Notamacropus eugenii: one gene and its partner. The protein of the gene in region 1 interacts with the protein of each later gene in a biochemical or structural test. Links are inferred from orthologs where the notes say so. Each region holds a gene or a part of one and is shown in the gene's direction. Other genes may lie near its edges.

Region 1 (16,144 bases):
TTCCTGGCATCAAGTGAGGCAATAATTCCTGTGAGCTGCTGGGAATGGGAAGTTCTTTCTTACATGGCCTGCTTATGTCTGTGAATGCATGGCACCTCTGCTTCTTTGTCTCTCGTGCTTATTCCTTCCTTATCTTAGGTGAATGTGTATCCTGAGATGGAACAGAGTAGGTGATCTTTTTAAGGTCAGAAGAGTGCTTAGAGGTCCAGCAACTGTCGCAGAAGCTGTTGGGAGCTGCAGCAACCAGGTGTGGTGAGGAGCCAATCATGAGGATCCATTTGCTTGCTGCAGCCCAGCTGAGGAAGGGTGTGGCACCACCTATTCATCATCACCTAGTAGGCCAATAAGAAATTTTCAAAGAATCCTTCTTCTGAAGCAGAGAAGGGCCTCAGAAAAATTTTATTTCAAACAAATTTATGTAAATTGAATCATATTTTCTATCCTCTTACATCATAATTCTTGAGCTAAACAGTTTCAAGAAATTGAACTGATTATGATTGATTCTGACACATATCACAGGGATTGGCTATTCTTCTGGAAACTTCCCATCCTTTTGGACATTCTTGAGTCTGACTATGTAGAAAAGACAACCTAAAACTGTTGCTATACAAATGGCCTACATCAATCTGTTTATGAAAGAAAGGTCAGAAATGACTAACACATTACAAATGTCTAACAAAAACTTGAAGAGACTGTGTGCCTTGGTTCCATTACAAGGGTGTATGAATGATCCAAATCTCTCCAGGAACTTATTTCTATGATTCCAGTGACCTTCCCAGTCACCATTAAACAATCTATTCTGTGTCCCCAAACAAATGACTATGGAATTGTTGTAAGATGGTAGTGAACTCAGGGCAATTAACCTCAAGAGCTCAATTCTAATAAAAGTTTCAGATACACTGGTAAAGTCGACAACTATGACCAAAGTTTTGGGGAAAGTCAACAGGATGAAAGTTGCATGCAGGAGGGAGGAAAGAGAGGAATCAGGGATGAAAAAGTTTCCTCTTCGTTAAAATGGGGGTAATAATAGCACCTCCTTCCACAGGGTTGTTTATGAGGATTGACTACTAAAGAGAAAAATGTCAAGTGTTATGCAACCCTTAATGCATTATATGTTAACCATAAAAAGGCTAACATAACATATAGTTAGCCTAGATAGTATAGTACATGGTACAGTGAATAATAAAATAAGAGTTAATATTTATATAGCACTTAGTATGTGTAAGGTGGGCAAGTAGGTGGAGCAGCAGATAGTGCCCAGTCCCAAGTCAGGAAGATGAGTTCAAATCCAGTCTCAGACTGCACTAGCGGATGACCCTGGGTATATCACTTAATCCTGTTTTCTTCAGTTTTCTCATCTAAAAAATGAGTTGGAAAAGGAAATGGCAAGTCACTCCTGTACCTTTGACAAGAAAATCCCAAATGGGATCAGGAAGAGTTGGACAGGACTCTAGCATGGCTAAATGGTTTTATAATTATCTCACTAGCTCTTCACAATAACCCTGGGAGGTAGGTGTTATTATTATCATATAGAAGGCAAAACTGAAGTAAACAGAGGTCAAATGACTTTCCCAGTGTCACAGAACTAGGAAGCCTCTAAGGTAAGGTTTGAACTCAGTTCTAACACACTTCAATGGCAGTGCTCTGTCCACTGGGCCACGTAGCTGCCTAAAACCGTCACTGAGCAGACTCTTAATCCTGTGGTCTGAGGGAGTTCAAACCCAGACTTAGATACTTAGCGATCCAGTGACTCTGGGCACCCTCCGTTTCCTCATTTGTAAAAAAGGGGATAATGCTAAACTACCTCTAAGTAACGGGGATTATGAGGATTAAATGAGATAGCACGTCTAAAGAGCCTGGCAAACGTTAAACAATCCAAATGCTAACTATGGTTACTAAGGAAACCAAAAATGCCCAAGAGCAAGAATCACCGAGAAAACGCCTGTTCTTTTCTCTATGAAGCCCCCGCTCACCACCCAGCTCCCGACTTCTGCTTGCCCCCTGCCCCCCTCCATCCCAGCTCCTGCCATCGAGCAGCCTGGGACCCTTTGCTGCGGCCAGGCAGTCCGCCTACGAGCAGTGACACGCGCCAAGGCGGTCCTGCGGCTGGCTGGGGCCAGACACTAAGCGGCGGAGCCTAAGGGATGGAAAACCCCGGCCCCGAGCTGCTCACGCGCACTGCTCCCGTCCGAGGCTAACTTTCGCTTTCCGCTCAATCCACAGTCTTCTCGTTCCCTGGGCTTTTCTTCGAAACCACGTGATGGTGGCTGTTCCGAGCACCGCGCACCCTCCTGCCAAGGTCAGCGTCAATGTTGCCCCTAGGCGAGCCAGGAAACCGCAGCTTTTTTACTATTTAACCTTCGTGCCAATTGATTGTTGGAGGAGAATTGTTTCCTTTCATACCGTGTAACTGATCCTTTAAAGTGAAACATACTAGGAGGAAGATAAAATGTATCACAAATATCCTCGCGTTTGTATCACTAGGCCCATCGGGTCTGCTGAAGACGAGAAGCCGGAACAACGCAGGAATTGGAATTTAGTGTAATGAATGAATGGATAGAGCGTAAAATTTGGAGCCAGTAAAGCCTTCAGTTCAAATCCTGCCCCATCAAACACGTGCCAGCTGTGTACCCTGGGCAAATTACTTAACATCTGTTTGCCTCAGTTTCCTCAACTGTAAAATGGGGATAAACCTATCTCCCAGAGTTGTAATGAGGCTCGAATGGAGATAATAATTGTAAAGTGTTTAGCACAGTTCATGGCAGATAGTGTAAGCTATATATAAATATTAGCTATTATATTATTTATTCCAGCTCTAAAGTAAACTAGTAAGAAAAAAGGGATGGATTTGCAGTCAACGTATACGAATTAGAATCCCACTACTGTGACTGTTGCTGTAAGGCGATTCACTTCATCTCACTGAGAATTAATCTTCCCACCTGAAAAATGAGAATAATGCCGCATAGGAATTGTTTGTGAGACAAGTATTTTGTAAGCTACAGAATCGAAGCATTGCAAAGGACTTCATAGGAAATTTAACCAACAGTGCTTTATGTGTGAGTTATTATCAAAGTCCTCCTATATGTGAATTATGATTGAAGTCCTCCTGTTCAACAACAGGATAGAACAGATGTGACCACATAGTAATTGGTGTGACAAAGATTGAGCATGCATCAACAGCGTGATCTCATTACCAGAAAAGGTGTTTTAACCTTAGATGACATTAACAAATATATGGTATCCAAAACAAAAACAATGAAAGCTCATCTATACTCTGCCCTGGTTCAGACCATATTTGGAATGTTTTGTCCTATTCGGGATACCACATTTTGAGAAGGCCAATGATAAGTTGGAGTGAATCCAAGGGTTGGCAGCCAGGAAGATTAGAAGGTATGAAATGATGTCATGAGGAATGGATGAAAGAACTGGGGATGTTAAGCCTGAAAAAGAGAGTGCTTTGGGAAGTATGCTATCTATCTTTATATATTTGAAGATGTCATATATAAGGGGTATGAGGTTTGTTCCACAGAGTTCCAGAAGGCAGATCTAGAACCCATAGTTAGGAGTCATAGTGAGACCAATTTCTATTAAATATAAGGAAGAAATTTCTAGTCACTAGAATTGTCCGGCATGGAATGGGGTGCTTTGCAAAGTTTGCAAGCCAGAAAAGAAAATCAGTTGCCTTGTTTCCTAGTCACAGTCATTTTTTTTTTCACCAAAAGGTAGCCATCTTAATAATAATAATAATAATAACTAACATTTGTCTGGCACTTTAAGGTCTGCAGAGCACTTTCTTGTGAGCCTTACAACTCTGTGAGGTAAATGAAATTATTATCCTCATTTTCAGATGGAGGAAAGAAAGGCAAAAAAGAGCTTAAATGACTTGTCCAGTCATATAGGTATAAGTGGCTGGTACAGGCCTCCAAGATCTGTCCACTTCTCTATCTCACTGCATATTGATCTTATTTATCAGACCAAATGAATCTTGGCTATTTCAAAAGCAAAAATCCCTCAAAGGACAAAGATTTCCCATTCAGCAGGACAATGTTAAAATGAGCAAACAATTGTCAAAGAGGAGTTGCAAAAATATTTTGAGCAACTCAAGCATGATTGGAATAAGAGTACAGCCTCCAAAATAACTATTTTGAGGAGATAATACTTATTTGATTGTAACAGTTTTGTTACCAAATATTTAAATTGATCCGTAATCTCAACAATTTAGGAGTTCTCTCCAGCAAAGCCTTCTTTTCCATTCTATGGGACTTTAGTCCACAACTTTTTAAAAGTTCATTATGAAGGGTCCACTCAATGTGCTAGCTGCCTTTTTTGCTTTCTCCTGACATTTCAGTGGAACATTCTGGTTATCCGTCTGTCATCCCTTGCTCTTGACCTACTCATCCCTTCCTTTCATTCAATTCCATCTTTTACTTCTGTTCTTCACACTCTATTTATATTATATATAATTATAATAACAAATTAAGATAAATAATGAATATATTATAATAAAGCATAATAAGTAATTATATGTAAAGATTGTATATAATCTCTACATTGCCCTCTTATTTCTAATTCCTCAGAGGCATGTGAGTTCTGTAACTTACTCTCATATAGCAATAACTATGGATTGTTAGTATTTAAAAGATGGACCTTTGCTTTTATGACAAGTTTAGGATGGTAAAAGGGCTTTGCAATTTCCTGAAAATAATCAGACAACCTCTCCTATTCATAACTGATCCCAACTCTTTGTTTATCTCTACTATTTGTCCCAGATACATGCTGTTAGAAAAGCTCTGTAGGGTAGAGTGTCCATTCAAATGCATATTGAAATCTGTGCCATAAATATTTTTCATCTTTTAAAAAGTCATATTACTTCATAATCTTATTTACATATGTTATGGTTCTTCTCCAGTAGATTATAATCTGTGGGGAAAATAGTACACAGTTTTAAAAGGCAATACAAAGCAACATATTCAGCTCCTGTAATTTCTCCATTACAGTTCAGACTCTAGGTCAAGGAGGAAGAAAAATGCACTCTTAGCACCTGGGATCAATGCTCCAATATGTGTGGTAAAGAAGTAAGAGCAATTAGTGTTCAGAAAAAGGAGAGAACACCTCCAGTCAGGGAAGCGGTCTGCAAAAGACGAGATGAGGTTTGAAAGAGGTCTTGAAGGATCTATATTGGAACAATTAGTGGTTCTGGACCCTGATGGCTTCCCAGAGCAAACAATTCCCACTGGGATAATCAGCCTGGAGTACCCTCAAATCAGCTTTCTAATTCTGTGAAAATAGTATATTAGAACTAATCCTAAAAATTCATTGATATAGAGAACTTGCAAGTGAAGAAATGTCTTCAGTTTATAGTCTGTCTCCTTAGAGGAGTGAATGGTTAAATAACTTGCCTAAAGTCAGAGGTAGGATTTTACATATCAGAGGTAGGATTTATACCCAGGTCTTTCTAGCTTCAGGGCCAGCTCTTTATCCACTACACCACACTGTGTCTTAGCAGCATTAAAGTAGTATAAGAAATTAAGCTAAATTCAGTAGCCTGAGATGGAGAATTATAGAACCTCAGAGTTTGAAGGGATCTTGGTGGTAGTCCAACCCAACCCACAGGATGTGGGTTCCTATACTAGAGAAGCATTCATGTGACTCCTTTCTTTTAAAAAAAAATTAATATTTAATTTTTCTCTCCAAATACATGTAAAAACAATTTTAACTTTTTTTTCAAATGTTTAGTTCCAAATTTTCACCTTCCCTCCACTCCCCCTCCCCTATTGAGAAGGCAGTTTGACTTAAGTTATTCATGTATAGTCATGCAAAACACATTTCCATGTAACTCATGCTGTGAAAGAAAACACAGGGGAAAAAAACAAAATAAAGTAAAGGAAAAGCATCTTCAATCTGCATTCAGGCTCCTCCAGGTCCTTTTCTGGAAATGGACAGCATCTTTCATTATAAGTTCTTCAGAATTGTCTTGGATTGTTGTATTGCTGAGTTTGACTCTTTTCTACACAGTGTTTGGGCATCAGGATTATTCCCCTTACTAGAGGGAAATGTTAATATATGCAGAAGGATGACAGGATACAGGTTAGTCCTCCTAGGAAAGATAGAGAGAAAGGAAAACCTTAGGGAAAGGAGAAGTGAGGCAGACTTGGAGAATTTTCTACTGGATGGGGTCTGGGTGGAGAGAAGAGACAATGCAGCAAATGGGCTTCAGTTTGCTGTTCTAACATCTTCCCAAACCAAACATCATTTTCTCCATTCATTTACCAGAATCTTTGCCTTAGGGCAAAACCCAAAATGGCCCTATTAGCTTTGGTTTTGAAGGAACATAGGATTTCTATAGATGAGGAAGGAGAGAGAATATTTCATTGTAAAGGAATAATTTGAGTGAAGTATGGAAGTAATATTGTGCAAAATGGATTCGAGAGAACATGAGTAGACAGTAGGCTGGGTCAGGGATTGTCTATAGGGAAAGGTTATTGTTTATTCATTCACCATTTACTCAGTGATTCAATCATTCTTTTAACAAATATGTGTTGAATGCCTAGGCAAAGCATTGTATACAGGTCCTGGGGGGAAATACAAAGAATAGAAAAAGTCCTTCCTCTAACGGAGCTCACATCACAGAGTCATAGAAACCAGCTGGCACAACTCATACTTAAACAGAAATCCCTCTGCCACATTCCCAACAAATGGTTATCTAGCCTTCACTCCAGAGTAAAAGCAAGTCCAGTAACTGTGAGAGTCGCTCATTCCACTTTTGGATGGCTCCCAAATTTTTAGGAATATTTTCCTTACAATAAGCCTAAACCTGCCTAACTTTCTGTCCTTTGCTCCTAGTTCTGCTCTCTGAAGTCAAACAGAACAAGCGCAATCAGTCTTCCAAAAGACTTCTCAAATGCTGAAGACGCATATCATTTTCCATTCCTACCCATCATGGCATGAGCTTGAGGCACTTCACCATCTTGGTTACTCTCCTCTAGACACTCTCCAGCTTTTCAATGCCTTTCCAAAAATGTGATGCCAAGAGTGAGATAAATGTGGCCTGAGACAGGTAAAATACAGCTGAATTTTTACCTCCTGAGTCCTGGACACTATTCAGTAAGAAGATATTAGCTGTCTTGGCTACTGCATTACGTTGTTGACTCACGTTGATATTCTAGACCACCAGAACTTGCAGATCTTTTTCAAAGGAATTGCCATATAAAAAATTTTAAAGATGAGAGAACAAGTACAGAGAAGGAAAAGTGAATTGCCCAAGGTCACAAAAGGAATTAATAAATGGTAGAGCTCAGATTTTAATCTGAATACTCTGACCCCAGATCCTCTGCTCACTATACTATACTATACTACACTACACTACACTACACTACACTACACTACACTACACTACACTACACTACACTACACTATACTACTGCTTCTAGTCAGTGGATAGAGCACTGGGCCAGGAGTCAGAAATCTCTGTGTTCAAATTTGACCTGAACCACTAGACTTGCCCGGGACAAGTCACTTAACCTCTCTTCCTCAGTTTTTCCAACTGTAAAATAGGTGTACTACTGATAGCACTTATCTCACAGGATTACACATAGCAAGCAATTAATAGATTCTTGTTCCTTCCCTTCCACAGCCCACTCCCATGGCACTGTGAATCATAAATGCAGGCACAATGCAGGGATGGTTGCAGCCAGACCATTCTATTCATATTTATGCAATCTAATGCCACTACCAAACACTGAAACTCCAATCAATATCTTACAAAAGTTTGCACTGCATGGGGGTCCCAACTGTCTTTGCAAGAACATTGATCTAACGTCATACCATTCCGTGCCCACTGTGGGTCCACTGTCCCCACCTGTATCACTGCAGATGCTTTGGTTTTAGTTTAAGTCCATGATTATGGACTTATAGTCAGGAAGAAGGAGATTCACATTCTGCTTTTGACACGCTGTAGCTCTGTGATTTGGCGTCTCTCCGTGCCTCGATTTCCTTTCATTTATAAAATACATTTTAATAAAAACATGTACCTTTCAGGGATGTTGTGAGGATCAAGCAAGATAAATTCAGAAAAATATCACATTTTGTCTTGTATAATGTACAGAAAGCATTATTATACTTTGATAAAAAGTGCTATCTAATGTGAGTATTATTATTACTGAGGATTAGGGTCTTTGCTCCCCACACTTTCTTACATATAACACCCTGGAAAGGAAAGATAGATTGTTTCTTCTTGCATGGCAGTTATGAAGGATGCTGCAGTTTGGAGGTTTGGCACTAAGAGAGAGAGTGAGAGTTCAACAAATATCTGTCAAACACCCAGTACTGTGTAAAAGGAGTCATGCTATGTTCTGGGGATATATTAGTTTATACATCCTGATCCTACTCGCATGATTTAGATTATTTACTAATAGAGATGATTTGGCACATCTTTTTGCTGCTAGCCACTGAAATGTAACTTCGGAGGTTTCATTTTCAACTGCAGACGAAACTTGTTAGATATGCCCCAGATTATGCTACAGGTTTGCTTTAAGATTAGCAAAGCGAGACCCGGAAGACGGAAGGCAAAGTGAAGACCGTGCCCACATCTGAGAAAGGTACTTGAAAGGGAACAGGAATTAGATGCAGAGAGCTAGATTGCGGAGGGGAGTTGGGGCCAGGGAAGGAACAGCCTTTTTTGATTGGCCTGACGAGAATGAGCCTGCTCCATGATTGGTCAGGAAGTGGAAAGTGAAACTCGAACGGGTTATTAGCTAATTGCGTTTTCTCTGTCCAGTTAGTTTTGCTCTGCTGCAGGCCGACCCTAGGAAACAGCTGAACCTGAAAACAAACGAGCCCCGACAGCCCCCAGGAAAGCTTTCTAGAATCAAGCCTGATCAAGCGAGTGACAGCTGACGTCCAGCCTGCTCTGTGCTACCCCCGCTTCTCGGCTCCGCAGAAGGTGGGTACTTGGGAGGAGCTTGGACCAGACGGTTGTGGAACTGATGGGAAAGATGCGTCTTTACTTTGCGTGGGGAATCCGGGATCAATCAGTATTTGCAGAACACTGGCTAAAATAATCGGGGGGCGCGGGGCAATCAGGACACTTGGGAAGGAGGGATTCCCTCAGCTCCATCCTTTATCCAGAGAGAAGGGATATCTACGTACTTTTCCCAAATGGAGACAAGTTACTTCTCTCCAACTGAGCTCGTCTATAAAAAGACGATTGGATCAGATGGTGTCAAAGATCATTTCCAGCTTTAAAGTTTTGGGATGTCTAGGTAATTAGCTACGTAGGGCTAACAGAACACATAAAACATCTGAGGAGGGAGAAAAGAAAAAAACACTAGCAAATGGGAAGAATCTCTTAGGAAAGGCAACAGCTGAGCTGCTCCTTAATGGAAAATAGGGTAGTGGAAAATTGGAGGAGCTGGATTCTAACCCCCGTTGTGTTAATTCTGTTACCTTTGGCAAAGTATTTGAGGCAGGGGTTCTTAACCTTTTTTGTTTCATTGACCTCTTTTTTATGCTTATGCACCCCATCCCAGAGTAATTTTTAAATGCATAAATAAAATACATAGATGTAAATATAAATAAATAGAATACAAATGAAATCAATTATATTGAAAGAGTTATCACTGTGTTTTAAAAACACATGCAAATTGATGGACCTGGGGTTAGGAACCCCTAAATTTTAAACTATCTGAAGAATGCAGTACATAATATATGACCTGATTGTCCTACTTTAAGCAGAGTTAGAATTTTAGAGCTAGAAGGGACCTTAGAGATCATTTCATCCAAGTTTTTTTTTTCATTTTATATTTGAAAGGAACTGAATAGACCCATTATCTTTATCTGCAATCTCATTCAACCAGTTTCCTAAGTTTGAAATTTTGGTGTTAACTTTGACTCTTCCCTTTTTTTCAGTTCACATATCCATTAAGTTGCTAAATTCCCTTAATTCTATCTCTGTATCTTTCATTCAATCCTCCCTGCTACCAGACTAATTGTCCTCATCATAGAGTCATAATTCTTCTAGCCAGAAATTTTTATTTGTTCACTGTCATTTAGATCTAAAGTTCATTTTCCTTATCCTGATATTCAAGGCCTTTCACAATTTGATGCCCCCCTGTATTTCCAGTCTTTATGTCCCTACATGTGCTCTTTTTCCTCAGCTAAACTAGATTGTTCCCCAAACCACCCTTATACCTTTCCAATCACAGAATTTCCTCTGTGTACATTATCTTCCCCCATTAAATTTATCTTAATCCCCCTTTTAATGTCTAATTCAGATGCTACCTCCTTTGAGACACTGCTTTCTGTGTCCCTAGGTCATTAATGATCTTACTTATCATGGATTGTAAATAATACTTTGTGCTTTTTTAAAAATTTTGGATACCACATTTCTTTTGCAGTTGTGTTTGGAATCATAAACTCCATGGGGATTGTAATCCCCATGAAGTCAGGGATTGTTTCTTATCTAAACTTTCTATCTCCCCAAGCATCTATCACAGTGATCTATAAACAATAAATACAAAAAATTTCAGTTGAATGTTGGATCATCTCTCAAGATTTACTCAGATGCATCTGAGTAGCAAATTATGCTGCAGTTAATTTCTAGTGTTTGATATGCTGCAAATGAGCAATTGCTATTGGAATTTGCTAAAAAAAATTATTTTGTCTTCAGCATTTCTTGTATATCTGTGTGTGTGCATGCATGTGTGTGTTTACAATCATAGTTTGTATTGTAAAGAACCTTGGATATTTTCATGTTTGAATTAAAGAAACTAAACCCATGGGAATGAAGTAATTTTCCTAAAATCAAGCAGGGACAGAAATGGTTTAGAAACCAGGTTTAATGACTCTCATTTCAGCCCTTTTATTTCTAATTTTTACCATACCAAGTGCTACTGTGATGATGACAGAGTAGAAGATAGAAGAGGCTAAGACAGTTTATAGATTGTCTATAGAAATTCACTCCATTGTAGGCTCTGTCAATATAATATCCTTTCCTAGGAACCAGTAAGTGAACCTGCTATTAGAGTAACCAAATCATAGCCATTTGGACATTCTTACTGTAAATAAAGCCAGAAGACAACATTGCATCTCAATGGAAGGTTTGTCTGTAGAGTATCCTTGGAGAAAAAATGATGCAGCTGATAGAGTTGGTTTTATCATGCATCGAAAGGCAACAAGAAACGTCATTTCATGAGATTCTTGGTTAGCTGTTTGGTAGGCTCTTGGTTTGTTTGTTTATTTTGTGGTGTTCATGAATAGCATGATAAGTATGCGAATAACTGAACCTTATGATCCATCATCTGTTACAGAGGATGGGGAAGTAAAGAAATGCTGTTAAGAGCTTAAGAAGATCCCATCCCCTCCAATGAAATCAACATATACTTTAAAACTCAGTTACTTCAGTATCCATGTCTAGAGTGTTTGTGAAATATGATAGAAAACATAGTGTAAGAATAAGAAATCAAAGTGATCAGAATAGTGTAGACAATACTGAAACCACCTTCTTTTATGTAGTGAATGCTACATGGGGACAGGCAATGAACATGAGCACCAAGTAACATCATAAAAAATGAAATGAGTTATATTTTAACAAACAAAAGATGACTGGTTACTGACATAGCAGTCATTTCTGAATCAGTTGTCTATGTAGTCAAACTTGTTAGAACAAGATCAAGATAAGTATCAAAATAGAAAAATAAAAATGAGACATAGGACTAAGGTAGATTCAATGTGACCTATTTAAATAAGCTATTAGCATAACAATGGGAAATAGATAAAAAAGCCAACATTAATGTAGGCTAGTATTATTTCTTAGAGAAATACAATCAGTGTAAGTCCATAGCATAGAAAGTGCCTCTGCCAGTCAACACTTGATTTTGTCAAATGAAGAGATATTGCAGAAAAGGGCACCAACCATTTAAAGCATCCATTTATTTGCAAGAGCTTACTTGAGGAAAGTACGGTAGAAAAATATGAGCTGTATCGTTGCATAAAAAACATTGAGAAGTCATAACAGGAAGAAAAAGTTTAAAGAAAGTTTGGTGAGAGACCCAACTAAGCAAAATCATCCTAAAGAAATTAAGAGGTTAAGCTGTAAGACTGAAAAATATATAGCTGAAAATTTTAAAGTCATAGTTCCTGATGTGCTACTCAGGGAAGGAGAAATGGCCCTGAAAAAATTTAGGATGGGAAGAGGAGTTCAACTTGACTTAGTAAACTTAGAAAGAATATACTGGAGATAAAGGCAGTGAGAGATTGATTCTCAAGGAAACTGAAAGTAGGGAGGATTATAAAGGCTTAGGAAAAAATCTCAAACCTTACTACTCCAAAGGGCAACCAAAAGAACATTAATAATTACTAATACATATTCTCACTTTCTTATGTCTGTACCATTTTTTATGAAGATAGGGTACATGTGCATTGAGATCATCCCCAGGTGTATAATAATTGAAAAAGCAGGCTTCTAAAATGATATTTTAGAGCAGCCACATGGTTGACTAAAAGGTATAGCAGATACAGTATTCTACTGCACATATTATTTGTTAACAATAGAAAAAAGTTATTTGATTTTGGAGAACAAAATGCTACTTTAAAGGTTTTCCTCCAGAAAGTTGATTTCCATAAGACTTCAGAATCATATAAGATTCCCTGAAAGAAGTAACAACAGAGAAAAATTTTGTTCAACAGTTCTGATACATCCAAGTCAAAGAAGGATTCTTTATAGATAGCGAGATTCTTCAGATGATTCTGTTTGTGGATGATAATGGACTGATTGCAACAAGCCCATAATATTGTGGATCCTACTAAATGAGATCCATATTGATTTAGCAGATTTCAGCCTAAACATCCACAGAGAGAATACCAAATGGATTAAGAACAAAATTTTAGAAGATCCAATATCTAGCACTGAAAACCTAATAGTAAGCACAAATCTAATTCTTCACTTTGCTAAGCTCAGCAGCTATTTGTTGCTGATGTGCTAAAAGCCCCAAAGGATATAGATGACAGCAAATTTGGTGGTAGATGGAAAAATGCATTTACTTTCCTTTTCCTATTATTAGGAAAGGAAAATAACTTAAAAGGCAAGCACTTTCTCTTTACTTTAGCAAAATATGTTGTATGAGATCGGTCTGCAGTTTTTTGACAAATAAAGATCCCACAGATGTTAAAACTTTTGCTATTGAGCTCTTGGATTTTGAAATTCATTAATGCATTTTGTTCTTACATCCTAATCACTTTCCAGTAATGTGTCTACTATTTCACTCCTTTCAGACCCTATGACAGAACTATCTGATACAGTGACTATGACAGAATGTTCTATGACTATAACATTCCACAGTTATAATCTATGACTTTAACTGAGAGAAGGATAAAGCGTTTTGGTATTAGTCATCTGGAACCAATATTGATCACTGCATTTTATCTGATTTTTGTTGTCTTTTAAGGTTATTTTCATTTGCATTATGGTTGCCATTGTGTATATTGTTCTTCTGACTTCGCTTTTTTTTAGAAAAAAAACAGTCTTCCCATGTTTCCCCAGATTCCTCATATTTACTTTGAACTACTCTTCTTAATACCCAGTTTTTTCTCTTTGTCTGTGGAACACTATGATCTTTAATTTGTTGTATATTTCTTCTTCACTTATAGGATGTCCCAGTGGAGTGACCTACAAGGACTTGACTCCAAATTCTTAGAGCAAGTGCATCAACTTTATGATGACAGTTTTCCTATGGAAATTAGACAGTATTTGGCACCTTGGCTGGAAAAGCAAGACTGGTAAGGAAACCCCTTGGACATAGTAAAAACTTCTGTCTGCAAGTTGTGGGTGTGACAATGATTTATTGATTTAGTTAAAATTATATTGACAAAGGACATACTCACATGTTCACAAAAGTGTTTTAAGGCACATAAAACTCTTCTATATAAAACTCATAACAACTCTCTGAGGAAAATAGTACAAGATTATTATAGATTTTTTTTTATTGATGAGGAAACTAAGGTTCAGAGGTGAAATTATTTTTTCAGGATTAAATGGATTTTAGAGGAGAACCCTAACTTTGAATCCAGTGCTCTTTATATCACAACACATTGTATCTCTTAAATGGATCATTTATGAGTCGATTCATTCTTTCCTTCAGGAGTTATTGGCTGAGTGCATCTAATGTACTGTGAAGGATACAATGAAAAATGGTTCAATCTCAGGTCTCAAAGCTCTTAGAGAGAGAGATAAGGCAGGCAATACAAATAATCATCATAGAAGATAAGATATGAAAAATGTAATAGGAGAGGTGCAAAGGTAATTCATAGTGGGGAAGAGATCACTTCCAGTTGAACAATCAAGGAGACGGCCTCAGATATTGCACCTTGAAGGATGGGCAGGAATTACATAAATATAGCTAGACCTAGAAGGACGTCCAGAGAGAAAAGCAGGAACAAAAGCATTGGGGTAAAAAATCAAAGTCTATTGCTACTAATATCCTGAATTTTATAATGATTTGTGCTAAGTCCAAACAACTTGGATAAAGGTATAGATGGCATACCCATCAAATTTTCAGGTGACACAAAGCAGGTAGGTGACAGAATTAACATCCCCAAAAGATCATGGCAAGCTTGAGAATTGGAGTAAATCTAATAAGATAAAATTCAGTAGGAATAAATGTAAAGTCATGCACCTGGGTTCAAGAAATCAATCTCACAAGTACAAGGTGATGGAGACATGGCAAGGTAGCAGTTAATCTGAAGAAAGGTTTAAGGGCTTTGTTGACTATGTGTGACATGCCAGCCAAGAAGCCACTCTTGGGCTTAGTGATCTTAGACTTCATTAAGAAGAGGATCAATAGATGAGAGTCTCCTTGTACTCTTCCATAGTAAGACCACATCTGAAATAGTGTGTTCATTTATGGGTACTATAGTTTAGGAATAGTATTGATTAATTGGAGAGCACACAGAGAAAGGCAATGAGGATGATGAAGGGCCCTGAGTCCATGTCATATGATGATTAGTTGAAGGAACTCAAGGTGTTTAGCCTGGAGAAGAGCTTTAGGAAGACGTGATAACTGTGCTGAAGGATTGTTACATGGAAAAGGAACTGTTCTATTTGGTTTCAGTAGCAAAACCTAAATCAACTGATGAAATTTGCAAGAAGTAAATTTAGACTTGATATAAGAGAAAGCTTCCTAACATTTATAGCTATTCAGAAGTGAATGGGGCTGTTTATTGTTCTGTGACATTTGGATTCTGTCACAGGGCTACACTTGAAGACCTAGAGTGCCCCATCCCTGGTCTGGATCAAGACCCAGGGAATAAGTGGCAAAGTTGGAATTTGATTCCGGGTCCTCTGACTCCAAATCCAGCATCCTTTCCGATGTATCATGCAGGTGGACTTTCATATATGCTACTTTAATATTATTTGGAATTAGTAATTGTCTGTTTTGAATCTCCCAGGGAGCATGCGGCCATTGATGTCTCCTTTGCCACAGTATGTTTTCATGAACTTCTGTCTCAGTTGGATGAACACTATAGCCGCTTCTCTCTGCAGAACAATTTTTTGCTGCAACACAATATAAGGAAAAGCAAACGTAATCTTCAGGTATGTTTTAATCTTTGTTGGAAATGTTGCCATGTTGTCACCTGGAAGTTCTCAAAGATTATGTGATATTAATTTACCTATAGCTCCCATTTAAAATTCATTATACAGAAATTTGAAATTTACAATATGAGTAAAGGGAAGCAATCAATTCATTTCATAAAAACTTTTAGCTTCACACATAACATAAACCATGTATTTTATATCAACACCTTTCAGAGAAACACAGTATAGTGCAATGAAAATAATGCTGAATTTGGAGTCAAGGGACTTGGAGGTTCAAATCTTAGTTCAAACCCATTGCCTTTAGGCAAGTCACTTCCTCTATCTTGGTCTCAATTTCCTGATTTGGAAAATTTAAGAGTTGGATTAGATGATCTCTAAGACCTCTTCAAGCTCTAAATCAATAATCTTATGAAATCTACGATATAGTTATGAATATCTTATGAATATGTTAATCTTGTGAAATACTATACAAATTTACATAAATGGATTAGGAAAACTAGGAACTGAAGGTGTTATAGAAACAGACTTTTCAGGTATGTGAGGTATAGAAATCAT
Region 2 (16,144 bases), on another chromosome or scaffold:
TTGGGTCCTAGTCTTAGATCTTCCACTAGTGTTAGACAAATTCATTGAGGCAGAGGGGGAGCGGGTGGCAATTCAGGAATCCGAAGAGCCATGTTCAAATCCCATCTCTAATTTGTGTGGGTGGGAAGGGGCTGGGGAAGTGGGGGGCGGGGCTGGACCAGTTGGCTACTAAGGTGGAGATCAAGATTTGTGATCTGTTACTTCTTCCTCGCCACCATCACTGTTCTGTCCATCGTCACTTAAATCCACATAACAGTTTACTGAGCAGTTTTCTTAAAGTGACTAGTGCAAACATTATTGCCCTTATTTCTTAGATGAGGAAAATGAAAGATGTGACGTGTCCAAAGTGACCCAACTGGCAGAAGTCCAGTGACCTTTCCACCGTCCTCTTATAAGCAGATAAAATCATCTAAGTTCCCTTCTGGCTCCAGAATTCTTTGTTCTGTGAATCTGAAAGTAAGTCTGCCTATCTTTAGGGGACCAGAGGGCAGGACTGGGACGGGCAGAGACAGTGACAGTGACAGGAGGGTGAAGGGGAGATGCCATGACAGAAGCAGATAGGAGGGGATGGGAGAGCAGAAAGGGGTAGCAGCAGCTGGAGGGTTGGGTGAAAGTCGGGTGAAAGAGAAATGGGTGTTTCTGCTACTGTGAAATCACTCTGGAGTCTGGCCTGGTTCAGCAGTGAGTCATCAGGACCAGAGCGGGTTTGTGGAGGGAAGGGGAGAGGGCAGGACTGGTAACTATGTCAGAATCCGCCCTGGAGATCCCCAGCTCCTTTTCGAATGAGAGACCTTTGTCCCTGGCATAACTACTAGGTGAGGGACGAAGGAACCCAGGAGTCAGTCCTGGGCCAAAGAGAGATAATGCTTGGGCAGCTGTGTGTCAGTGAAGGATCATTTTCTGATACACGAGAAGCCCCAGTGAACAGCCCTGTCCACAAATAGCCTTCCTTACCCTCATCAAACTTTTTGTTCTTGGGAGGGAAGCACAGAGGTTTTCAGAAATTCAAGGTTAGAAGGAAGCAAATGGGCTAGGGTCCAAAGTGGGGAAGGATCTGTATATGACCTTTGGGCCGGACAATCAATCAAAAAGCATTTATTAAGGACCCACTATGTGCCAGGCACTGTTTGGGGGGGGAGGTGAGAGTCAAAGAGTAGGCCTTCTCTGACCTTAAAGAGTTTTCTCTCAATAGTGAGAGGCAATGTGTACATTTATAGGTATATACAAGAAACATACAAAGTGGATGAAGAAACCCAGGTTGGGGGTTGGCAGTATAAGGAAAATCTTAAGCTAAGAGCTTTCCTGGGAAGGTCCCAAACCTCCACCATTAGGAAATCCTCCTCCAAGTGGCCACCCTGTCTTTCTTGTTCGTTCATTGAGTCATAGAAGATAAGATTTAGGAGGGACCCTGAAGAGATGTTCCAGTTGGACCTTCTCTTTTAACAGATGGGGAACTGAGGCCCAGAGCACTAAGAAAACCTTCCCTTGGTCACACAATACACTAGCAGCAGAGACCGTACTACAATCAGTGTCTGCAGACACTGACCCGATTCTGTGTCCAGATGCCTCTTTTGGAATAGCTTTGAGTTATGTGGCCTTGAGTAACTTGTTTTATTTTATTTATCTGTCAGTCAAGGCCTCTCCCCTTACACCTCCCAAGCACCCATCTTTAGTCTCAGTATTATGTCTGGGGCGATTACTCTCAGGTTGGCTTAGGGTCAAATATGAGACATCATTTCGTTATACAAAATATCAGCTTCTCCTCCCAGTGTTGGATTCAGCAGCAATCTTCTTCTCTCGTTGGGGATTCAGTCTGGGTCTCACACCAGATAATCCCTTTCTTCACAGAGGCCCCTCCTCAGAGTTGACAGACTGTCTTCATTATGGTCCTGTCACTGATTCCTCTGGCCCAAACATTATCATCTTGGCACAGGTTCTGGGAACATCCCAGCCCTGGTGCATTAGCCATCTCATCCTTGACCATCCTTCTTCCCCAAGTGCTACAGGGATGGGGACAGAAAGACAGACACATAGTGAAAAACAGACAGTTGGACATAGGGACAGGAATGGAAAAAGTCAGAGACAGGGACAGAGACAGAGACTGGGACAGGAACAGAGCCAGAAACAGAGACAAAGATGAAGAACAGAAAGAAACCTAGAAATAAGGAAAGATTGACGTTGCCAGCTCCATCTTGGAGCCAATCAAGACTGACTTGGGAGGACTATCCCAGGATTCACTTGGCTCTCTGGCTCTGAAGTGGAAAGCTGAACTGCATGAAGATTTTCACATCTTTTATATGTCCAGCTCAGCACCTGGACAAGGAGGAAGAGGTGTAGAGTTGAAGGATCAATGCTGATCCTTGTTGGACTGGTAATAGGAGTTGTTCTACCTGCCCCATCGGCCTGGGGCTGCTGTCTTCTTCATTTCCTTTGTCTCACATCTTGACCCTGTCTTAGTCCAGGACTTTGGTGGTAGTGGTACACTAGGGGTGGGGAATGCATGGGAATGGAGGTGATTGGGCAGAGAATGGTTGGAGTCAAAGGACCTGGGTTTGAATCTCAGCTCTGCTACTTACTGTCTACGTGACCTTGGATCAGTTACTTAAACTCTTTGGACCTCAGTTTCCACATCTGTAAAATGATGGGGTTGGACTCTAAGATCCCTTCCACATCTAAATCTATGATCCTATGATCTCATTTGATCCCCGCGGTTACCCTCTGAAGGTAGATATTTCTATCCCCATTTTATAGATGAGGAACTTGGGGCATCGTGATTTGACCATCATTGCACAGGTTGTAAGTAGCAGAGTTAGGAGCCATCCTCCCTCCAAATCCAAACCCTTTCCTCTTCAAGGTGCTTCTTCTAGCCCATCCTTCCCTTATCTTCCAACTCCCCACCCCCAACCTCCAAGGGGAAGATGTAGTGAATAGGAGTCCTCTGTCCAGAGAAGAGTTGCTAGTGGCCTCCCTCCAAAGAATCACAAAATGTTTGGGGGCCCTCAGAGGTCATCTAGGCCAATCTATGCCTGAACAGGAATCCTAGGAAGGGGATCCCTTCATTTTACAGATGAAGAAATCAGGGCTGAGGGAAGTGACCTACTCAGAGTTACATAGCTAGTAAGTGTCTAAGGCAGGATTTGAATTCAGATTTTCCTGACTCCCCCTGTAGAACATCCTTGACAAGTGGTTATCAGGCCTCTCTTTGCAGGCTTTTAGTGAGACAGGGAACCTTCGACCTCCCAAGGTAGCTGGTTCTGCTCATGTGTAGCTCTTATTGTAAGGTTTGGTTTTAGTTTTTCATTTTTCCTTTACAATGACTTCAAATCTGCCTCTCTGCCACTTCTAATCATTACTCCCAGATTTACTCTGGGGCCAAGCAGAATGAGTCAGATATCCCTCCCCTATGAGAGATCTTGGGATACTTGGATTGTTATCGTGTCCCCTCAAGTTTCCTCCAGGGAAACAAAGATATCTAGTTTCTTCAACAGCTCCATGCTGTTCTTCTAACACCACCCCCCCATCTAAGTTTTACCTGTCCTTCAAGGCTTCCACTTATGACTCACCTTCCTTCATGAAGCCTTCCCTCATCAGCCCCAACCAGCTCTCAGTGAGCTCTTCCTCCTCCCAGCTACTGATGTACTTATTGGCTGTAACTCTCCTTTGATCCTTGCCATAGAGTTCCTAGCAGCACAAGCTATCTTTTAATGTAGGTTGTGTTGTCCGCCATAGCTTTTAAGATTCTTGATGGTAGAGAATGGGTTTTATTTATTTCTGCAAATATTGGTTAGCTCAGTAAAAATTGGTTGAGAATGTTGATGAGGACAATGGCAGTGATTTAAATAAAAAGCTCCCATTTCTAGAGGGCTTTCCTCACAACAGCTCTAGGGAATTTGCAAGGCAAGTATTATTGCCCTCGCTGTACAGACAAGAAAACTGAGACACGAAGACATTTAACCCAGACTCACATGATCTGACTATTAGACCAGTGATGTCAAATGGCTATAAAAGTCATCCTGTGCAGTCCTCTACTTCACCTTGGGAGAGTCCTCTCTGGAATCTTCTTGATCTCTACCAAGGACAGAGATCCTGGGAAAAAAAAATAAGTCATTGATTCATATTAAAAGTCTCCATGGACAAAGGAGGCTGAAATATCAAGTCACCCCATTTCTCAATGGATTATTTCGTTGGGAATGACCTATGGGATCTACATCCCATACAAGCTATTGACCAATTGAAAAGTTGCAGTCAAAGAAACCCTAGCCCCAGATTGGGCCACTTAAAAAATTTCACACAGTTCAGGTCAGAGCTGTTTTCCTTGCACATGGAGCAGAGATGTTCAAGGTGGGGTGGGAATGGGGGAGGGGGTATGAATGAAGTGGGAAGGTGTCCTATTACCTGTAAACTCTTGCTGAGATGTAAAGCTGCAGTTGCTAGGAGAAAGCTGAAGGGAAGTGAGGAAGCCAGAGCGCATTCCTACAAAAGAGATGAAAAAGAAAAGAGAAAATGAAAAAGAAAAAGAAAAAGAAAGGAGAGAGAAGCTGGGAGGGACCTTGAGGTTCCAGGCTAGCCCAATCCCTAGGAAAGGTCAGATTCCAGAACTTTTCCTAGAGGAGTCATAGGTGCCCTGGGACAAGCACTATTACCCTCAAAGTTATCCAGCCATGCTTTTCTCTTCAATGGCAAGAGTCCTGTGACTTGGGTAAAGGGAACAAGGGGAGGAGAAACTGGGGGAAAACCCTGCCTTGAGGTCCCTTTCCTAGAGGCCTGAGCCCCTGCACAGCCTAACCTACTCAGGGTTGATCTGATTGACTCAGAGTAGGTATTTCCTTCCATCCCCAGGTTTCTGTCCTTCCCTGTCTGAGGCAGATTGGCCCTAGAGGCTTATGACTACATGTCAAGGTGGTGTTCTGTTCCCCATGCCCATCTCCACCCCCCAAAACAATTGGGATAATACCTGGCCCTTCCTCAACCTTCTTGACACGTCGCTAATCTTCAGCCCCAAGATGGTCCAGTGACCTAAACATGGGCTTGGATACGCCTGCCCACAGGATGCCACCATTCTTTGAGCATTGTGCCTTCCCTTACTTTCAGTGCAGTCAATCAATTGAACATAAGCAGATTTACTGAATACTTACTGCATGTCTAGCTCCTCAACATAGGCACTCAGGGAGATGCAAGAAAGTAAAATAGCAAAGTATTGTGAAAGCTCAGGGAGAAGAGTCCTTGGTCATGTCACTTCCTCTCTCTGAGTCTGAGTTTTCTCATTTGTAAAATAATTGGGCTGCTCTCCAAGGTTCCTTCCAGTTCTAACATTCCATGACTTTGTAATTCTCAGTTCACGGTGGAATGGATTCATCATTCATGGAGGAGGTGGGATTTGAAGAATGGACAAAACCTCTCCCCCCACAAAATTAGGATAAAATCTCCACCCTTCTGGTCTCCATGTCCCCTCCCAGAATCACCATAATTAAGTCTGAATTCTGTTTGGGGTTGTGGGATGGGGGGAGGGACGAGCACACCGAGAAGACTGGAGTACTTATCTCTGAGACCTAGATGGTGGATTCAGGAATCTTTTGGCAGCCAGGAGGAGAGAGGAACAGTGAGCAGAAAACTGTGATTCCCCTTCATTCCCTCCCTGTATTCTCAAAATTGAGGTGAGACCATCTTCAAGTGGATGGGAATAAATTGTCCCTCACCAAGCTGGTGTGTGGGGACAGGGAATGGGGAGAAAAAGACAGAGAGAGAGAGATAGAAAGATAGATAGAGAGAGAGAGAGAGAGAGAGAGAGAGAGAGAGAGAGACAGACAGACAGACAGAGACAGAGACACAGAGACAGAGACACAGAGAGACAGACAGACAGACAGAGACAGAGAAAATGATTAGTAAGACAGTCACAGAGAGACTGGGGTGGGGGTACGAGGGGAGAAGGTAGAAGAGACCAACGGAAGAGAGATGGCACAGAGATAAGCATATTCAAAGAAAAAGAAAGACGGGGAGAAAGGTCTTTAAGGTCCCTCACAGATGTATGGTGCTATGATCTGAAAACGGGACAGAGATAGCCATTGGAAAAAAGAAGGGGCAAAGAAGACAGATATAAAGGGAAACACACACACAGCTAGAAAGACAGTGACAGAAACCAAAACATGGAGGGGAACCGGTGAGGATGGACTTAGAGACACACAGAGACTGCGGATTGATACAAGGAAAGGAGGAGGGAAACTCAGAAGAATTCCTGACAGAGGATTCATCCTCATTCTCGGAGAAGCTAGATACTCTCTACCCTTCACACATACCCACACACTCGCACACACACTCATCACACATTCACACACACCCATCACATTCCCACACACACAGTCACACACACCCTTCACACACACTCACACACACTCATCACACACGCACACACACGCACATCACACACACACCCTTCACACCCTCACAGCCCCCATCATACACCCCCCCCATCACACCCCCCATCATACACACACAGTCACACACACCCTTCACACACTCACACACCCCCATCACACACACACCCTTTACACACACGCACTCACACCCTTCACACACACACTCACACACCCCCATCTCACACACACGCACTCACACCCTTCACACACAGTCACACACACCCTTCACACACACGCACTCACACCCTTCACACACAGTCACACACACTCATCACACACGCACACACCCCCCCATCACACACACACGCACTCACACCCTTCACACACACTCATCACACACGCACACACACCCCCATCACACACACACGCACTCACACCCTTCACACACAGTCACACACGCACACACACCCCCATCACACACACACGCACTCACACCCTTCACACACACTCACACACACTCATCACACACGCACACACACCCCCATCACACACACGCACTCACACCCTTCACACACAGTCACACACACTCATCACACACGCACACACACTCCCATCACACACACGCACTCACACCCTTCACACACACTCATCACACACGCACACACACCCCCATCACACACACACGCACTCACACCCTTCACACACAGTCACACACACTCATCACACACGCACACACACTCCCATCACACACACGCACTCACACCCTTCACACACACTCATCACACACGCACACACACCCCCATCACACACACACGCACTCATACCCTTCACACACAGTCACACACACCCTTCACACACACTCACACCCCCCCATCACACACACCCCCCCATCACACACACACCCTTTACACACACGCACTCACACTCACACCCTTCACACACACACACACACACACACACACACACACACACACTCGCACTTCTACAAGACACACAAAGTACGAAGCCCTGCCTGGAGGGGCGGGGCGGCCGCAGAGGCAGGGAGGGAGACCTGGGCCGAGGAGCGGGAGAAAGAGGGCGGGGCGCCTCGGAGGCGGCCCCGGGAGGCTCTGGGCGGAACTGGGCGGGCCGCCGGGGTTCCCAGCACCTGGGTGAGGTCTGGGCCGCCCCGCCCCTCGCTCCGCACTTCCTTGTGTGACTGTACCCGGAGCCGGAGGCCCCCGGAGCGGCGGAGTCGGCCCGGAACCGAGCCGGAGAGGAGCTCCCGGCCCCAGCGCAGAGCGATCCTGCGCCCTAACCCTTCACCACCCGAGGGACCCAGTCCCTCGTCCCTCTCCCCCCAGCCCCGGAGCCGAAGATAGCCTGCCACCCCTGGGTCCCCCCGGAGACCCGGACGGAGTGATCCCCCCCTGCTGGGGCGGAGAGACCCCAGGACCCCGAAGTTCTCGGCTCCCCCCAGCTCCCGGGGCTGAGGGGCCTCCGGCGACTGGGCCAAGTCCCCCTGGGGACCCAGCGATTGCCCCCTCCCCAGACACCCACGGGCGGACGCCCCCGACCTGCGGAGGACCGAGAGATTCCCGCCCCCCTCCCAGAGCGCCGAGGCGCACCCCAAGGCGGAGAGCCGGAGACTTCGCCCTCTCGGTCCCCGCCCCACCGAGCGCCGAGAGCCTGGGGGCTGCGAGACTCCCCTGGAACCCAGAGACAGATCATCCTGTCCCCGGAACTAGGAGGAGAGGCTCTGCACCCCGACCCTCGTCCACCCCCTCCTCCTAGACCCAGATCGTGAGGGGCCCCCTCCCACCGCGGTGACCGGGAGAGACCGCTCTCAGACGAGGAAGGCTGCCGGGCCTGGAGAGACCCCTCACCCAGCAGAGGCACCCCCTTTGTTGGCTACGGAAGGTGAGGAGGTGGGAGAGAACCGGGAGAGGGGCCGAGAACCCCTCACCCCTCGGACCTGGGCTTGGGAGACGAACTCGGGTCTTTCCAGGGCAGTCCGGGCTACCAGCCTCCCGGCTCTGGACTTGGGGAGTTTCGTGTCCCTTCTGAAACTGCCCCAAGCCGACCACCCCGTGGCCGATGGCCGCCGCTGCCTTGCCTTCCCAGTGACCGTCCTTTCCCGTGGTCGGGTCTCCTCGGCACCTCTCCTTCTGTCTCTGTCACTTGACTGAGGAACACTCTCTCTCTCTGTCTCTCTGTCTCTCCCCCTCCTCGTCTCTCCGTCTCTCTCCCCGTCTCTCTCTTTCTCTGTCTCTCTCTGTCTCTCTGTCTCTGTCTCTCTCTCTGTCTCTCTCTATCTCCCCCTCCTCGTCTCTCCGTCTCTCTCCCCGTCTCTCTCTTTCTCTGTCTCTCTCTGTCTCTCTGTCTCTGTCTCTGTCTCTCTGTCTGTCTCCAGGGGAACTGCTTCATGGGGCATTTCCCACTCTCCACCCCCGTTTGTCATCTTCCATGCGTATCTTCTCGTCCATAATCCCCTCATTTATTGTACCCCACATTCATCTCCCCCATCATTGTCCCCCAAAAGCACCATCCCTATTCACCCTACCCAATATCCCCGTTCCATCATCCCAGTATTTTGATGCCCCTCATTCGTTGTCATCTTGTCTGTAATCCTCTTTCCACTTACTTCTATCCATCAGCCCACATCCATTGGCCTCCTTCTGTCATCCCCACATCCACTTATTCCCCTTCTCATTCATCGTCAACCATTCCTGGTGTTTCTCCTGCCACGTCTTTTCATTTATTGCTTGGTCTTGTCTTGTCCCGCCTACCACTCTGTCCCTTATCCCCTCTGGCTTCTCTTCCTTTCTCTGCCCTCTCTTTTGTGTTCCCACCCTTCCTCTGATGTCCCTTCCATCCTAGCACTTCTACTTCTGCCCTCCTTCCAGCTACATAATGTCCTCCCTATCTTATTTCTGACTCCTTTTCCCATCAGGACAAAGGGAGAGAAGAGCCTTAATTTGGCTGACTACCTGCTTTTACATCCCTTATCCTCTTGCCTCTGGGGTCTCTTTTTTCCTTCATTCATTTCTTTCTCCTTTCTGTGCCCTAGACTCTGTCTTTCTCTGTCCCTGTCTCCCATCTTCCTGTCATCACCTTTCCTGAACTTTAAGGGACAGTTGTACTCTCTCCCCCATCTCAGCTGGACCAGTAGATCTGAAGCTCATCCTATGCCAGATGAGAGGGAACCTCTGGAAGGGAACCCTGGACACTTCTTGATTTGATGAGTGGCCTGCGTGTTTGGGAAGGGTTTAGAGAATGAACCCATCTACTCGGACACACAGAAGTCATCCACCCCTTGAATTTCTAAGGTTTGGTGGGTAGTGGAGAAAAAGAGTGGAGAAAAAGAGTCCATCCTCTGACCGTCTTTTCCCTTCACCTCCACATCCTCCCTCCCTCCCGTGGCTTTCTCCCCTGACTGGCAGGAGAGACTTTTTTGAGAAAAAGTTATGGCAAGGGAGTTTCTCACTACCATCCAAGTGGATTTTTTTTGGGGAGAGGGTCCTTCCTGTAAAATCTCTTTATGTGTCTCCATCTACCTCTAGGTAGTCTGCATTTTTCTGCATCTGTTCTTTCTGTTGCTGTGTGAATACTGTCACTCTGTTTGTCCTACATGTCTCTGTGCCTGTTCCCTGTCCCATCTCTTTGTGCCCCAATTCCTTGTGTCCAATGTGATTCTGACTTCCCTCTGTCTGTGTCTGTCTCCTGTGTCTGTGAATCCTGCTGGGGGTTTAGATATGGGGGCAGTTTATCTGTGCAGACACTACATGGTGAAATTATACGTATATCCACCTGACTGTGTGTGTGTGTGTGTATGTGTGTGTGTATGGGAGTATGGTTTCTTTTTTCCCCCCAGCATCTCCTCAGACATGCTGTAGCCAGCTGTGACCAGGTCACTGAGAGGTGGAGACCCAGGTCACTTGGGCTTCCTTGTGGTAGACATAGTTTGAACCAGAGTGCCTACTGACAGGCCAGCAGAGGGCGAATGTGTGGGAGGCAGTGAATGTGACTGTGACTGTGCGTGATTGAGTGACTGTTACTGCGTGGGTATGTCTGCTTGTGTGTGTGTGTGCATGACTCTGCGAATGCCTGCTGTATTAGTGTATGATACTCACTCTCTGAGAGAGTGTGACTCTGCTTTATTCTGGGAGTGAGTGTGTGTGGAACAATGACACTGTGTGTACATGTATGTGCATTAACCCATGCGTTCCTGTGTGATCACAATGCTTGGAGAAAGTGGCTTCTCTGGTGGAGATTTCAGTGTGCTACCTCTGGCCTCTGACCTGTCTTGGAGGGAAGGATTAAGAAAGGTTTGGATTAGCCTCTGAGGATCACTCACACAGTTCAGTGAGCATTAAACATAGTGTAGGGGAAAGAGAGGTGGCCTCAGATTCAGGAGGGCTCTATAGACATCTTGCCTCTTCTCATCTGCCATCCACTGGCTTCCTTCAAGGCCCACCTACAATCCCACCTTTTACTGGAAATCTTTCCTGCTCCCTCTTCATTATAGAACCTCCCCTCTGTTGATTATTTCCTATCTCTCCTGTATATAGTGTTTTTCTATATATTTGCTTGCATGTCGTCTCTCTTATTAGATTGTGAGCTTTTCAAGGGTTGTTGTTGATCAGTGTGTTCGATTTTTTGTGACCCCATTTGGGTTTTTCCTGGCAAAGATATTGGAATGGTTTCCATTTCCTTCTCCAGCTCATTTTTACAAACAAGAAACCTGAGGCTAACAGGTCTAAGTGCCCTTGCCCAGGGCCACACAGCTAGTAATGTCTGAGCCGTATTTGAACTTAGTGCTCCTGACTCTAGGCTCTGTGCTCTATCCACTATGCCACCTAGCTCTCCCTTTGAGGGTAAGGGCTGCCTTTTACTTTTCTTTATATACCTATCATTCATCATGGTGCCTCACCCATAGTAGCTGCTTAATGCTTATTGCCTGGGATCTGCATTAATAAAAAGGACTTTCAACATGCCTATGAAATTGCAGGCCTGGACTAACCCTGCCACAATTTTCTAGGTTCTACCCATGGTCTGAGGATAGTCAAAATTGAAAAACAAAGCAGTCTTTGCCCTTGATGAACTTAGTTAGACTCTATAGGGAGGAAACTTCTACACAGATAAATAAATACAGTCATTTCCTGGGGCCTGGGGAAGACCTCAGCTGACCCAAGGGATAGGGAGAGTCCTCTGGTAGGAGGCATCTTTGGAGTTTGACCTTGAAAGGAGCTAGCAATTTCAAGGATGAGGGGCCAGTACATTCCAGGCTTTAGGAACAGCCTGTGCAAAGGCATCAAGGTGGAGGATGGAGTGTTACGAGTTAGGTGAACAAACAGAAAGCCAGTTTGGCTGGAAAAAAGCCTTTGAGAGGAGCAGGGTGAAGTCAGCCTGGAAAGGTAAGTTGGAGCTGGATTGTGACGGGACTGAAAAACCAAAGAGAGGAGTTTGGATTTCACCATTTGGGGCAATAGGGAACCAATAAGACATCTGGAGCAGGGAAGTCACATGGTCCAATTTGCACTTTGGGAATTCCAATTTGACAGCTGTGTGGAGGAGGGAATAGAGGTGGGGGAGGGAGAAGACTGGAGACAGGGGGACCAATAGATAGGCTCTTGAGATAGTCAAGGAAAGAAGTAATGAGGACCTGCCTAGGATGGCTGTGATGTGAGTGGCAATAAGGAGATAGGGGCAAGGCATATAGAAGACAGGGAAAACCAGACACATAAAATAATCTATATCAAGATTTGCTTCTGGTCTTGGTTTTTGTCTGAGATTCCTGTCCTCCTTTCTTCTTGCGTCTCTTACCCTAGGCCCCAAGGGCGATGTAGACCGGAGCCAGCATGATATGGTGGAAAGGGCACTGGTCCCAGGATTTTGGTTCAAATTCCAGCCCTCCACTTTACTACCTGAGTAACCTGGGGAAAGTTATCTATTCTGGCCTCAAATCTAGATAATTGGACTATAACCCTTTCTAGCTCTAAATCCATGCTCCCAGAATCTCTTTGCTTGGCTTACTAAGAGAATGATGAAGGGAAGTTAACCCCAGGAAGGGAAACTAGATCTCTAGGTAATCTGCACATTGGGTTACTAAGCCCTGAAAGATGGAGAGTAGACTATTCTGGGCTATGGCTGCAGGGCACTGACACCATTTAACAGGAAGAGATAATTAGAATTTAAATTAAAAGTTAAAATAATTTAAAGTTAAAAAAAGGAAAAATATTAAGCCAGTGAATACAGCTGTGCCCCTGGGATTGGGTCTGTGGCCTTTTGGACTAGGGCAAAGGGGACAGGTGAACAAATGTCTCTGTGGCTTTGGGGATGGCTGTGAGGATCATTTAACTGCCCCACCTTCTCTCCCTAGCCTGTCTGGAGCTCCTAGAGAGAAAGGATCCTGGTTTATATGTCTTTGTCTCTCCCTTAATGCCTAGTATAGGGTTGCGGTCCTAGCGGGTGTTTATTAAAGACTTGGCACCATAGAATGGTCATCAGAATCAAAAGGGAACTTTTGGGGTTCTTAACTTTGGGGTTCTTAACTTGGGGTCTATGAACTTGTTTTAGATAGCTAGCTAGCTAGCTAGACAGACAGATAGACATCAATAGAATTGTTTCTTTTGTAATCCTATGTATTTTAATTTATGTATTTTAAAACATTCTAAGGGGTCCATAGGCTTCATTAGAAGGTAAAAGGGGACCATGACCAAAAAAAGGGATCATTTTATCTAATTTGACCATCCTCATTTTATAGATGTATCAAATGAGACAGTGAAGGTAAATGACTTACTTAAGGTCACACAGCAAATCAGCCGCAGAAAAAAGACTAGAAAAAACCCTGATCTCCCAGCTCCTAGTCTGGTTCCCTTTCTGTCCCTCTCCTTGTAGATTCAGAAGGCATTTCTGTAGTGGTTATGTGACCGCCCTCTTTCTGTCTTGGCCCTGCAGGTCTGGTGGGGATTGGATGCCCTTTGGTCTCACCTAGCATCAGTCCGGGAATCTTTCTCATTCCTCAGAATCACCTGCTACATAAGGACCTTGGACAGAGAGTGAGACCCTAGTCAGGAACGACAGGTAATGAGGATCCAGGGGCCTCCTCAGTCCCTGAGCCATTCTGCTCTCTCGTTGTTTCTTCTTTGCTGCACCTCTAATGTCAAAGACCAGCCCTCTGGGGAATCAGGCCGTGTCACCAGCCTGTGGAGAGTGTCGGACCCTAGGATGCTAGCTCAGGCTGAGGACTGGGATGGGTGTGGAATTGGCTGGCTGGGCTTAGGAGGCTGGTGTCCTCCTAATGTCACTTTCAGGCAGTTTGTGTTTGATATATGGCTTCTTTGATTGGTTCTTGCTCCAGTATCTCCCTGATATCATCTCTACAGATTTGGGGTACATTTATGTGTTAGTCTTGCTCCTCAGGATTTCCAAGCACTGATTTAGAGGAAGGAGGTTGTAGACCAGAGAGGAGAAGGATGGAGGATTGAAGGATAAAAGGAAAAAGAGGAGGGTGTTGTTGAGATGACATATTACCCTTTGGTCGGTGCAGACCACTGCATTCATCACTGTTCTGTGGCCCCTAGTTTCTACTTCTCTAACCATGTAAGCAAAGGAACCTTAGGCAGGTCCCCTTTGCTGGGGAGGGAGGGGGTGAGTCCTGTATCTGAGGGATGGTCTGTATTTTGGGGGATGCTAGACTCATAGAGTGTTAGAACCTTATCATCCTAGGATTAGACACTTACAGTTAGAAAGCAGAGACCAAGTTTCCCACTGAACATAAAAGGAACTTGAAGCCCAGAGAAGGGACATTATTTGCTGGAGGCCATAGAGTGACTTAATGCCAAAGGAAGCACTCCAGCCCTGGTCTGCTGACTGTCAGAATGCCTTGTTAGCTGGTTTTGTTCCCGTCAGTCATGTTACCCACCCCCTAGGCTGGCCCGCAGTATAAGAGGAGTGAGCAAAAGTAAAGAGGTGGGGAAGGGGGGCCGCTGGGGTGGAATGCAATTTGAAGGAGACCATGGGAAGGGTGGCACACTCATATCCTTCCTCCACCAGCCTATCACCATTGCTATGAATTCTGCCATTACCATTTCATCCATTTACCGTGACCAATTCATCGATTACCAGTTTCTGTGGATTCAGCATTACCCTTTCCAGGATGCTTTGGGGAAATGCTAATTTAGTTTAATCCTAAGAGTGGCATATCATATTGCTAAAAGCTCAGAATGGATGAATTTGTCAGAAGCTTGCATTCACTCATTTAACAAACATTTATTAAGCACCTACTGTCTGCAGGACCTTTTGCTAATCCCTTTAGGGAAGACATTCCATTAAGCTATGGCCCAATCTATGGAACATTTCATGAGCAGGGGGTTCGAGAAGAGCAGAAAGATAGGGACAAGGAGATCAGAATTTCTACACTTGCTACTCTGCAGTTTTGCCTGGAACTGCCCCAGTTCTCTTTCTTCCAGGAAGTCTTCCTGGACTAGTTCTGTCTTGTTCCCATCTCTCCTTTCCCTAATATCATCTCTCTAGATTTGGGGATGCATTTATATCCTAGTTCCCAAGGGTTTTAATGTATCTTCCACATATGGGGGGGATGCTTGGTGTGGAGGGCAGCTTAAAGTGGGGCCTTTGTTAGTCATGTCAACTTTCTGGGGCCTCGATCCCTTCCCTAGTATTACCTAGAGAGGTTTGCTCTTCTCTCAGATTCTCCTTCCTACTCAACTGGAAACTTTGTCAGTAAGCTCTCCACTTCGTGGTCCCCACTTCTGTCACCTGGCCCTTTCTTCCCTTCTTTTCTGGGTGTTTGGCACAAGGAAGAAGATTTGTAACAGAGCTGTCAAGGGTAAGGTTGTACACGTACACAAACACACAAGAGTGCTATCTAAGAAAACCATTCAGAGCTGGCTGGGTGAAGCAACCCCCCTCTATCCCCCTTACCATGCTTGGCCCCATGTTTCTTTCTTGGCCTGGAGCCCTTCCTCTGCCCCTCCAGGCCAAAGAGAAGGACATCTGCTGTCCCAGAACACCCAGTACTGATTTGAGATAAGCCTACCTGAGCGCTTTGGACTCGACTCTATCCCTGGCTCACTTTCTGCCAGTCCAGAAGCTCTGTTCTGTGGGTGGGCTTTGGGCCTTCTACCCACAGTCTAATTTAGCATAATCTCACTCCTTCTTCTGTGGAAAGAACACAGAGAATGAAACAAAAAGCTGTCACATACATTAAAGCTTTTTCACAGATTCACAGATTAGCAGAGCTGAGAGGGACCTGAGAGATCATTCTAGTCTAACCCTCTCATTTTACAGATGGAGAAACTGACTCCCAGAACAATCGTGTCTCTTGAGATCACACAGTCAATGAGTGGCAGGCCACCAGATCCTAGTGCTGTGTGCTCTTTCAACTACAATTTTCCCAAAATACTAAATACTTCAACTGACACCCCTGTCACTACATCCTGTCTCTCAAACTAGGACAGTGTTAACACCTTTATCTTCATCAGAAAGAAGTTTACAGGGTGCTTTCCCCTCCCTCCCTCCTCTCCCATCATTCTTCTCTCCCTCTCCCCTCATTCCTTCTTCCCCTATTCCTTTCTTTCTCCTCCCTTCCCCTGTTGACCATTGGTACACCCCACCAAGGTAAAACCAGAAAAGCAGTCTGGGGATCTGCAGCCCAGGGGCTGAATTGACTTGCCCTGAATCTGGACCCCAAGCTGGGAGGTCAATGTAGGGAGGGACAATGGCGAATCTTAGAGAGTTTGGGAATGCTTAGGCTTGTAGCAGGAGAACAGGACCTTCATAAGAAGGGA

Evidence for each region.
Region 2: of the proteins of STAT1 (region 1) and PRKCD, one has a biochemical effect on the other in vitro, tested with the Homo sapiens proteins (2 studies listed by BioGRID). The link is inferred for Notamacropus eugenii from reciprocal best matches to the Homo sapiens genes STAT1 and PRKCD.

What each region holds. Positions count from the first base shown.
Region 1 is NC_092876.1:258,467,544-258,483,687, reverse strand, and holds the start of STAT1 (signal transducer and activator of transcription 1-alpha/beta), read left to right. Parts: upstream 1-8,710; 5' UTR 8,711-8,941; intron 8,942-13,644; 5' UTR 13,645-13,645; coding exon 13,646-13,773; intron 13,774-15,441; coding exon 15,442-15,586; intron 15,587-16,144. UniProt on the Homo sapiens protein: Signal transducer and transcription activator that mediates cellular responses to interferons (IFNs), cytokine KITLG/SCF and other cytokines and other growth factors.
Region 2 is NC_092872.1:941,712-957,855, reverse strand, and holds the start of PRKCD (protein kinase C delta type), read left to right. Parts: upstream 1-7,448; 5' UTR 7,449-8,252; intron 8,253-13,292; 5' UTR 13,293-13,418; intron 13,419-16,144.